Caenorhabditis elegans: one gene and its partner. The protein of the gene in region 1 binds, or shares a complex with, the protein of each later gene. Each region holds a gene or a part of one and is shown on either strand. Other genes may lie near its edges.

Region 1 (5,248 bases):
GTAAAAATTCACAATTTTGAAACTCCTCTAAAATGGTAAATTTTGTAGTTAGACGACTCAAAAATACAAAATTTACTCAAAAACATTTAAAACATTGCCCTTTTTTAGAATATAGTAGTTTTAAACATTATTTGGGAGATTTTCCGAATGAGAAGCTAATTTCGGAAAAATTCGGAAATTTATAAAGCCGCTTTTCATTCGAAATTTATTTTTATTTTTAAAAAAGTTTGGGAATTCTCAAAAACCAACTGTCCACCCGTTCCATTTAACAACCCAATTCTCAAATGTCCCCTCTAAAATTTTGATAGTAGAGCTCGCGGAGCACATCAGCAAAAGTAGCAGCTCCCAGGAAATGTCCGAATCATCATCAAATGCCGTTGGGGTATGTCCAAGAGGATGGTGCATTGTAACAATTGACTGACGACGGCAGCTGACGGATTGAGGGGTCCCCTCGTGCACACACGGGAATGCTCCGGGAGCACACACACACACTTTTCCATTACTATTTCCTACGAGAGTGTGGTAGACGTGCCGTTATTATTTTTTTGTGTTTTTGAGGTTAAAAATTGCTTCCAAGTCTGTTAAAAATATATTTGATGGCCTAGTTTTTGTTTTCTAGGCAGCCGAACTTGAATTTAAAAGCTTGACATTTTTGGTATGGTGGCTTAGAATTTCGAAAATTCAAGTTGCTTTCTTTTAACTTAAAATTAAAACATTTTTTGCGAATTTGAATTAGATGGCCTAGGATTTTCTGGAATGTTTAATTGAAAGATTTGGTTAGGCCACACAATTTCAGTTGCTGGCCTAGTTTTGATGTTCTAGGCCACCAATTTTTCTTTCAACTTTTCCGATGAATTTCACACACGTTCCAAACTTTCAGTAGTCACACTCATATTTTGCCTCATCTTTTTCATGGCCTAACTTTTCGATTTCGTGGCCTAGAACTTTGTCCATGAAAAAGTTTAGGCCACATGCTTTTTTTAAAAATATATCCCTTTTTATTGAAATGATTTTAAAAAAGTTTTTGTTAGACCCAAGATGATTGAGCCAAATTAGAGAAATTTGAAGTTGGTGGCCTAGAAAATTTCTAGACTATCAACTTCACAAGGCTCTAACTTGGCTGAAAATTATCATTTTCAGTTTTTTCAAGCCATATTTTTTGTTGAATTTTTGTATTTTCCTTCAAAATTTTTATTTTGAAAAAATCAATAATTAGAGATATCAAATGCATATTCCGATTGTTTCGCACAAATCTCATAGTCATTTGCACAACGAAAAGGAATTTGCGCAAATTCCGTCAAATCATGCTCCAAATTGTGCTCTTTTTCTGCTCCAAAACTGTGATCCATCCAATCGGATAAAATGCTTCTGTCCGACCCGTCGTTCGCACAATGCGTCCAAATTGTCTTCGCAGAACTGGCTTCGGTGGCCTAGAAATTCAAATTTTCTTGTGTTGCTGGCCTAGGATTGGTTCTCTAGGCCACTAAAATCAGCTTGATTTTTTTTTAAATGTTGATGTGTCACGTTAAATTTAACATGAATAGAGCTTCACCCATTTTGGTTTTTTTTTCGTTGGTGGCCTATGTTTTTCTAGGCCACCAACTTTAAATTTTAAATCAATATATTGTCAAATTAAAGGGTTTACTCACAATTAGCTCTTCACAAAAATCTACTTGAAAAACTCGAATTGGTCGCCTAGAAAACTAAAACTAGGCCACCAATATTTCGTTTTTAAATTTTTCTTCAAATTTTCTAAATTTTTTGAAATTAGAAAAACTAAAATAGAAAAACTTACACTTTTGTCACTGTTACTCATTTTTAGCAATATTTTTTTCTTTGAATTCTTTGAATTTTTTTTTAGAAATAAAAAATTTTCCAGAAAATTTCGTTCTTTTTTCGTAACTTTTATTTTTTGGAAAACTTCTAGAATAACCCCACGTTTTTTAAAAATAATTTTATATTCTACAACTTAATTTTTTTTTCTAATAAAAATCCCAATTTCAGATGCCAATTGGTGTATAGAATAGGCGAAAACGAACGAAAAAGTGCAACAACACCATGTTATTCTCGGGCGCCTCGACTGCGAAACCGAAAAAAGACGAGAAAAAGGACAAGAAAAGTGATCGCGGTGAGTTTTTTGAAAAATTTTTAAGACAAAAAAAAAAAGAAAAATCCCCGAAAAATGGCATAGAAATTTACCTTTTTTGATTTTCCAGGCCACCAACATAGTTTTCAGCATACATTTATTTTATATTTGTTTCTGTCTTACCGAGACCTTCAATTTGACAGCCATCATGCCTAGGATCCGACTATTTTGAGTTGGTGGCCTAACTTTTCAAGCCGTGACCGAGAAAATGCATTTGGGCCTGGACTTTAGACGCTCAGATTTTTGAAATGTTCTTAGTTTTTATTCCTTGTTAGGAGTATTCAAAAATTCAAAAATTGAATTTCAAATAGGTTCTGGGAGTTTTAAGTTGTTGGTGGCCGAGGAATTTCTAGGCGACCAATTTTAAATTTTGCCAGTAAGATAAAATTTGTAGAATTTTAAAGTGAAACAGTAATATTGTGTGCTTCTTAAAATTTAATTTCATAAAATTTAGCAATTTCTAAAAAAGTAAAAATTCTAGGCCACCAACTGAAAAGTTAGGCCATGGAATAAAATTTCCAAAGTATGGCAATATTGGTGTCATGTGAAAGCTATGAACGTGCAGAAGTCAGTGAAAAGCATTGTAATAATGAAAAATTATTTTTGTGGCCTAGAAAAAGCAAACCTAGGCCAGCGAGTCAAATTGGGTGGCCTGAATTTGGATTTCTAGGCCACTAGTTAACAAATGCCATTTTTCTAGCAAACTTCTTGAAGAGAACTAACTGTTGCCACCAATACTCTGTTGAACATATTTTATGCTGATCTAGAAATTTTGCTGGCCTAGAAATCTAAAACTAGGCCACCAAACTGTAAATCTGCTCAAAATTCATATTTTTCGATTTTTCAAAAACCGATTTGTAGAGTTTTTGACGGAAAATTTGAATTTGAACGTTAAAAGCTATGAATAAAATTTTCAGACCCAAAAAATGAGCTCCAAGAGTGGGTATTCGTGCGCTGGGCCAATCACCTGCTCGGAACAGAACGTCTAACCGATTACAAAAGCCTTCAAGATGGTTCAAACGCGATTTTTGTCTACCAAGCAATTATTGGACAGACTATGGCTGTACTGGGTAATCCATCCGACGATTGGCCTAATGTTTTGCAAAATATCGGGGATTCCAAGACGAATCCGCAGGAAGTTATGGAAGGGCAGCAGAAAGCGGTGCTCTCAGCCTGGTGGCAGCTTGTTCAGTTTTTCTGGAAAAATAATGCACCCGTGCAGTTACGGGAGGAAAAGGTGAGTTTTTTGAGTGTAAAATCAAGTGGAAATCTTTAAAATTGATAAAGTTACGGGGGTTTGAAAAATTAAAAAATAAATAAAAAATTTTGAAAAAAAAAATTTCGAAAATTTTTTTTAAAATTTTTTTCCTAGAATTTTTTCTATTAAATTTTCAAATTTCAGCTCTCCGAAGCCATCAAACAATGGTGCATTGAAGTCATGAAATCATACGAAGAAATTGACGTCTACGACTTTACATCTTCCTTCCGGGACGGCCATGCCTTCAATTACCTCATACATTCTTATGAGTAAGGGTTTTTCATTAGAAATTAATTTATTGATAATCAGTTTTTCAAGAGTTTCTAGATTCCATGAAACATGGTTTTATTCGAAAAAAAATTCAAAAATTTCAAAAAAAAAACACATTTTTTTGGATTTTTTCAATTCTAAATTTTCCAAAACAACTTTTAATCTTATTTTTTTTTAATTCAATATCAAATTTAAATTCAACATTTCATTACAGTCTATTTGACACCCATAATGCCTAGGCTCCGAAATGTTCAAGCTGGTGGCCTAACTTTTCACTACATGGCCTAGAAAACTCACTGGGACTTCAAATTTGGAAAACATAGGCCCTGGAATTTAATATTTTAAAGTATAGCAATATGGGTGTCATTTGAAAGGTTTCGGCGTGTAGAACTCGAGAACCCCATCAAAAAGAATTTTAGAGAGGGTCTCGCCGCGAAAACTACAGTACCCATGTGATTTTCGTGGCGGGATTCAACTTTTTCCAAAACTAATCATGATTATACTCAAATGAAAGCTCTCAGTGCGACAAACACAGTTAATATAGTTTCGAGCCCGAAATCCTGAACATTTTCAGCCGAAAACTGATAAACCTCACAAAAACCGCCGAAATGAGTGCCATCGACAGGATTGAAAACGCTTTTGCTGTCGCTGAAAAGACATGGAATGTGCCAAGGCTTCTGAATCCAAAAGGTTACTATTTCTAACCAAAAAAAAAATCGAATTCTACGCTGAAAAACCACGAAAAAACTGTTTTGGGCAAAGTGGCTTAGTGGAGAATAGGTGCACAGCTACGGAAAAACATACCAGGGTTCGACCCCCCGCTGCGGTCAAAATTTTTGTTTCTCAATTTTGAAAGTTTTTGAAAATTTTTGAAATCATTCACTTTTTATTTTATTTGAAAATGAAGATTTTGAGCCGAGTTACAGCAGTTTTACGCCTAGGCACAAGATTGACTACCTGACTGCCTAGTAGGTTTTAAAAAACTGATAGGCAAGCGTGTAGGCAGGCAGGCAGTGATGAAGACTTTCCTTCCTACAAGAACTGTCAACACTGAATTATCTATTTTCCAGTAATTCACTTGAGTTAGAGCTTCAATGCGGTAAGTCAAAATGGGTTATAAGTAGGCGCGAAGGCAAGTAGGTAGGTATTACGGGACAATGAGATCATGAGAATGCCTACTTTTCTGGCGGCAAATATCTCGTAGCGAAGGGACCGGCGTCTCTCTTCGCCATATGCTCTCTCGCTGCCGCGGCCTGTCAATATTTTCGCGCCAGTAAATAGGCATTCATCTCATGGTCCCGTAATAGGTAGGTAGGCACAAGATAGGTACATAGGTAGGCATTCAAAAAAGTAGATAGGCACAAAGTAGACACATAGGTAGGCAGGCAACAAAGGGTAAAAAGCCTACCTACACTGATGTTTTCCGCGTAATTTGGTTTTAAGTATATAGGTAACAAGACGAGAGATCACAGATAAAAGAGACGCAGACAGATTGCGTAACCGCCCGATCAGGGAGAACCATATATCCCTTTTGTCCCCCTTTCTGTCTTTTTCTCTGCCACCCTCTCTCACTT
Region 2 (4,908 bases), on another chromosome or scaffold:
AGACAAGACGATGAGAGAGTACGGCACACACGCAACCGCTTCTTCGTTTTCTTTTCCCCGCCGACCGCTTTTCTCTTTTTGCCCCTGTTTTGTCCTCCATTTTCCGATTTTTTTTTCTATTTTCAAATCGATTAGGAACTGAGTGATAGTGTGGATAATTGCTTCCAATGTCGCAGAAGAACGGGTGATGAGACGATATATAAAGAGCAAAACTTGCATGCTTTCATCTTGATTTTTGTTGCGTTTCTTTCAAATTTCTAGAATATAACTTCGTATATTTGCTCTAGTGCATTATGCTACTGCCAATATCTAAAAAAAAGTATGGTTTCCTTTTTTTTGAAATTTGTTTCCCAATCGCAAACTATGTGTAATTTTTTAATTCATATAGTTTTCCTAAATAGTGAAGCTTTTTTTTTGTTTTTATCATGTTTCACATTGACATCAACATGTAAATAAATACAGTTTTTCAGTATACGAAACCACGTAAAATAATTAACACCACATTTTTTGTCACAATGTTGGAAATTCAACTGACATTAATTTTTTTTTGAATTATTTTTAGATGCATTGCGATAATGGTTTGGTATGCCATTCTACTTGTACCAATCCGAAATGTTTGATATTGCACTAATTTTCCTTGTATCATTGCTTTTGTAGTGAATACTATCAGCTTTTTTCAACTAATCAATCAGAGAAACGAGTTTATAAGAGTTGTGTCACTTGGTGTCAGAGTGTCCCATTTTGGTTTGATCTACGTAGATCTACGGAATGTGCGGGGATCTAGACGCAGACTTCTCGACAGATTTTTTTGGCATTTTTGAAGGTGTGCTGACGTCGCCTTTTTTGTAAATCAAATCGTAATGAGACCGCTTGCCATCACGTGCTGTGTTAGTAATAATGGTAATTTTAAAAATTCATATGAAAGCATGGAACTACTTGAAAAATACAGTAACACAAGTTTTGTATTGTATAATATATATAACATTACATTTATTCATTTCAAATCCATGAAAGTAGAAATATCTTTCCCCCGCACTGACAATCATATTTGTAGCCGTTTTGTAGGCGCCCCTCCTCTTTTTTTGCGTTTTTATTTTATTTTTTTCTCTCAACACATCTTCAATCTTTATATTCCTATTTGAAAACGTCTCCAGGGAACCTCGCTCATCGGTCTCCCAACCAACCAATTTCCAGTTTTGTTCGGCTCGCAACTTCTTCTATTTCTTCTGTCCCCCCCCCCCCCCCCCCCCCCATCATCCTAAACTTCTTTCCCTCCTTCTTAACATCGGCTTCCGTTTTCCTCCTGTTTCCATTCTCATATTCAATTTGCGGACGGACTTTTGGTCAGTCCACTTTCCTTAAAAGTCCTTTTAGCTACACTACCTACACTTTTCTCTGCATTTGCTCTTTTGTTCAATACTCCCTTATCCGTTTTTCCTCCAGGAAAATGATCAGAAGCAAAAATATTTGGTTTTAGTGTTTAAAATTGCGTTGCCGCATGAGTTATTCATTTCTTCTTTCATTTCCTCTCTCCCCCATCTACTTGGCCCATTGTTCCTCATCATTTCTCATCATCACTCAATTATTTTTCCTCGTTTGCTCTTTTTTCATAGTGTGCCCTTTTTGTCATTTTTAGCAGCTTAATCACTGAGTTTTCAGCGAACCTCACCTCTTCACCCAACGTTTTCCAACGTCACCACCAGTTTCAATACGATATCCAAATTGTCCTGATATCGGACAATTGCTTCGTAGTATACTGGCTCATGGTAGCTGATATACTCGATATGCAGTTGAAGGTTTGATACGGTTTTGAGTGAGCGTTTTTTTTCAGAAATGTTTAACAAGTGTTTATTGTCCATTTAGAAACGGAGTAGCATCAGTAGGAAAGTTGTTTAGGGGCTGAAAAGTCAGAATATGAAACTAACAATTTTCTTCAAAGTGCACAAAAAATCTTTGTTAATTTACAGTTGAAAGCATAGTAATTTTTAAAATGAATTTCTAATAGTGTACCTAAAACATGGACTAAAATATCAATACATTCGGAAAATTGTTGAAAATGTTATCTCTTTTTCTGCTGATTTTCAGCATAAATAACATTCTGGCACTACTTCAACTTTTGTTATTTTTCCACCTAGGGCTGGCCATCTGGACGTCCGCCCACATGGAGTCACCATGGGTGGCAAAATAAGGTGGAAATTTTTTTTATCACAGGAATTAGGGGAGCTTACATCCTGACATTTTCTGGGTTCCGCTGCTTACTATAGAAACGCACGCATTATCACAATGAGACGCGGAACACAAAAAAATGTCGGGATATACGCTCCCATAAATCCACGAATGTTCAAAACCGAACGCCCGATTGTCCGAAAATCAGTACATTCGGAAAGGCCAGTCCTCTGGATTACCAGCCCTATCTTAACCTAACAAAAAATTGGTTTTGAAACCTCATGGCCTTTTCTGCGTGAAAATAGTTTTAAAGTCCAAATTTTCTTTCTGATAAAATGTTGTCTTGCGTAGTATCATGTAAATATTTTAATTTTCATTATTTTCATCTGCACGAAAACATTTCGGTCAAGTAGAAAGTGCAAAAAAGATGTATTATTACGGAAACGCAATCCAGTAATATTATTAATAAAAAACATTTACAAACCAGAGGCTCTGTACTTTATTAAAATTGACATTCATTCAGTTTTTTTAAACATGTTATGTTTATAACAAGGAATTTGTAATCGACATACGTCCTCCCGTACTAACAGCGATTTGCCGAGTGTCTAATACCACTTTGTTTTTGATTATTGTTTAAAATTCACTTTCTTCAAAACACCCATGTTTTTTATTGCTGAAACCATCTAACATCTTGTTTTACTTCTCTAACCGTTTTTCTTTAATACTTTTTTACTAACATTTCCACCATTTCATCATTATTTCATATTTTACAGAGGTGAGGATATAATGCCTGTGCGGAAAAAGCATGGTCCGTACGATATCATCGCCGACGATGTCTACGACTGCCGTATTCCACTCCATAACGAACTCGCTTATCAGCATGGTATTCATTTCGAAGCAAAGGTTTGTGAAAAGATGTATTCGAATGTTTGTACAACGCTAATCTTGTTTAAACGAACATTGAATATTCTGAAAAGCCCGGAGGGTGTAGATTAGATTGTCTTCAAGTTTGGTCCTAACGCGTTTGCAAATTTAATCATAGTGGGAAGTTTAGTTTTTTTTTTCTTTCAAAAAGAAAACAAAAACAAAACTACTGGATTTAATCCAAAAAGGGTTTTTGCAGTATGTCGGAAGCATGGAAATTCCTAGACCCGGGACGAGAATCGAGATTGTGGCGGCGATGCGACGAGTTCGAGTGAGTTTTTTTTATAAAAACTCGCAAATAGAGATATATTCAAAATGAGCTGAAATTTGCAATTGAAAATTAGTAGTATAATCTAAAATTTGTATAATTACATGGTTGCAACATTATTATTAGTAGTGTAGAAAATAGAATCGTAATACTTTGAAAGATCATAATTTATTGAATTTTTTACAAATTCTACACTTGCTAGTGTTTTCTTCTCTACAATTTTTTCGTTTGTTAAATCAATCAATATTAAAGTCAGTAAATGCTAGGCGTTGATTGAATAATCTGCCACACTGCAAAAAAGCTGATACTTTTTTACCTAAAACCTATAGTCGTATCTAAAACTTTTTTTGTTGATTAAGGAAACATAAGCAATCAATATTTGAACAAGCATATCATCGATGTGAATTTGAATTTGACCGTGTCATATTTGTTGATTTTGACTGACTTTTTCTTAAACAACCAAATTGAAGTGTTTGAAGAAAACGCTTTTGAAAATCTATTTTCCTAATTCCTTGATTATTGAATAAAACCATTTTCAGTACGAATTCAAAGCTCGTGGTATCAAAAAACGCCCGGTCGACATTACCGTATCCGTCGATGGTGTCAAAGTTGTTCTTCAGCGGAAGAAACAGAAAGAGAAAGGTCTCTCTTGGGATGAATCTAAATTACTTGTCATGTTTCACCCAATATACAGGTATTGTTAAATTTCTGTAAAATTGTTATTGTAAAAATTTTGAAGGATATTCTACGTGTCACATGATTCTCAAGATCTTCAAATATTTTCCTACATTGCACGGGATGGAGCTAGTAACACATTTAAATGCAATGTATTTAAGTGTTCTAAAAAGGTTAGTCATTATTTTCAATATTATTATTATTATTATTGAAGTAGTACTGTGATCAAATTTTTTTTTAGAAAGAGCGTCGAAAAAGTTAAAATGTTGAATTTTTTGTATATGGTGAAACTATCGAATTTGAAAATTTATGTGGTTTTCAATTAAGTATGTATTACATGAATTTTTTTTGAATAATATTTATAGAAATGAATACCGATGTTTAATCACTATACAATTTCCCAACGCGTTGTTAATCAGTTCCCACAGGTGTTACATTTCCGAAACTTCCCATTTTCGAGAAGTGGCGGAAAAACTGATTTTGTTCACAATTTAGAATATTATCCGACTCAAAAATTTTTTTTTCATATTGGCGATACTACTCTTGTAATTCTGTAAATGCCCCTCAATTTGAAAAATTGAATTGTCTACACACTTGTCCACACTACCCAAACATTTTTCTACTATCAAGAAAATGCAATTTTCATTTAAAAAACTACAGACCTTGCTGAAGATTTCGTGATTTAAGATGATAATAAGCTCTAAGACTCATTCAAATTTTTTGTGGCAATAAGTATTTTTCAAACGTTTTGAACAAAAATTATCGAAGAAAGAACAAATGATAATCAGAATTACCATGCAATCCTAAGTATTTTCACAGATTATACTTCATTTGAAAGCAAGAAAATAAAATGTATGGATCAAAAAAGCAATATT

Evidence for each region. The genes of interacting proteins can lie anywhere in the genome.
Region 2: dys-1 (region 1) and dyc-1 share a complex: the UniProt entries of both Caenorhabditis elegans proteins name them as parts of the dystrophin glycoprotein complex.

The regions. Positions count from the first base shown.
Region 1 is NC_003279.8:11,554,603-11,559,850, reverse strand, and holds the start of dys-1 (Dystrophin-1), read left to right. Parts: upstream 1-1,999; 5' UTR 2,000-2,058; coding exon 2,059-2,128; intron 2,129-3,063; coding exon 3,064-3,383; intron 3,384-3,548; coding exon 3,549-3,673; intron 3,674-4,248; coding exon 4,249-4,364; intron 4,365-5,248. Other genes in the region: F15D3.9 (SAM-dependent methyltransferase), read right to left, coding at 1,206-1,430, 1,796-1,816. UniProt on the Caenorhabditis elegans protein: Plays a role in cholinergic transmission and as a functional partner of dystrobrevin (dyb-1), necessary for muscle maintenance. Required for neuronal positioning. May play a role in the localization of slo-1 near dense bodies in the muscle.
Region 2 is NC_003284.9:14,047,876-14,052,783, forward strand, and holds the start of dyc-1 (Dystrophin-like protein 1), read left to right. Parts: upstream 1-1,659; 5' UTR 1,660-1,796; intron 1,797-1,952; exon of another isoform or gene 1,953-1,973; intron 1,974-2,939; 5' UTR 2,940-2,952; coding exon 2,953-3,069; intron 3,070-3,289; coding exon 3,290-3,361; intron 3,362-3,897; coding exon 3,898-4,052; intron 4,053-4,097; coding exon 4,098-4,206; intron 4,207-4,908. UniProt on the Caenorhabditis elegans protein: Together with dys-1 and hlh-1, participates in a common muscular function.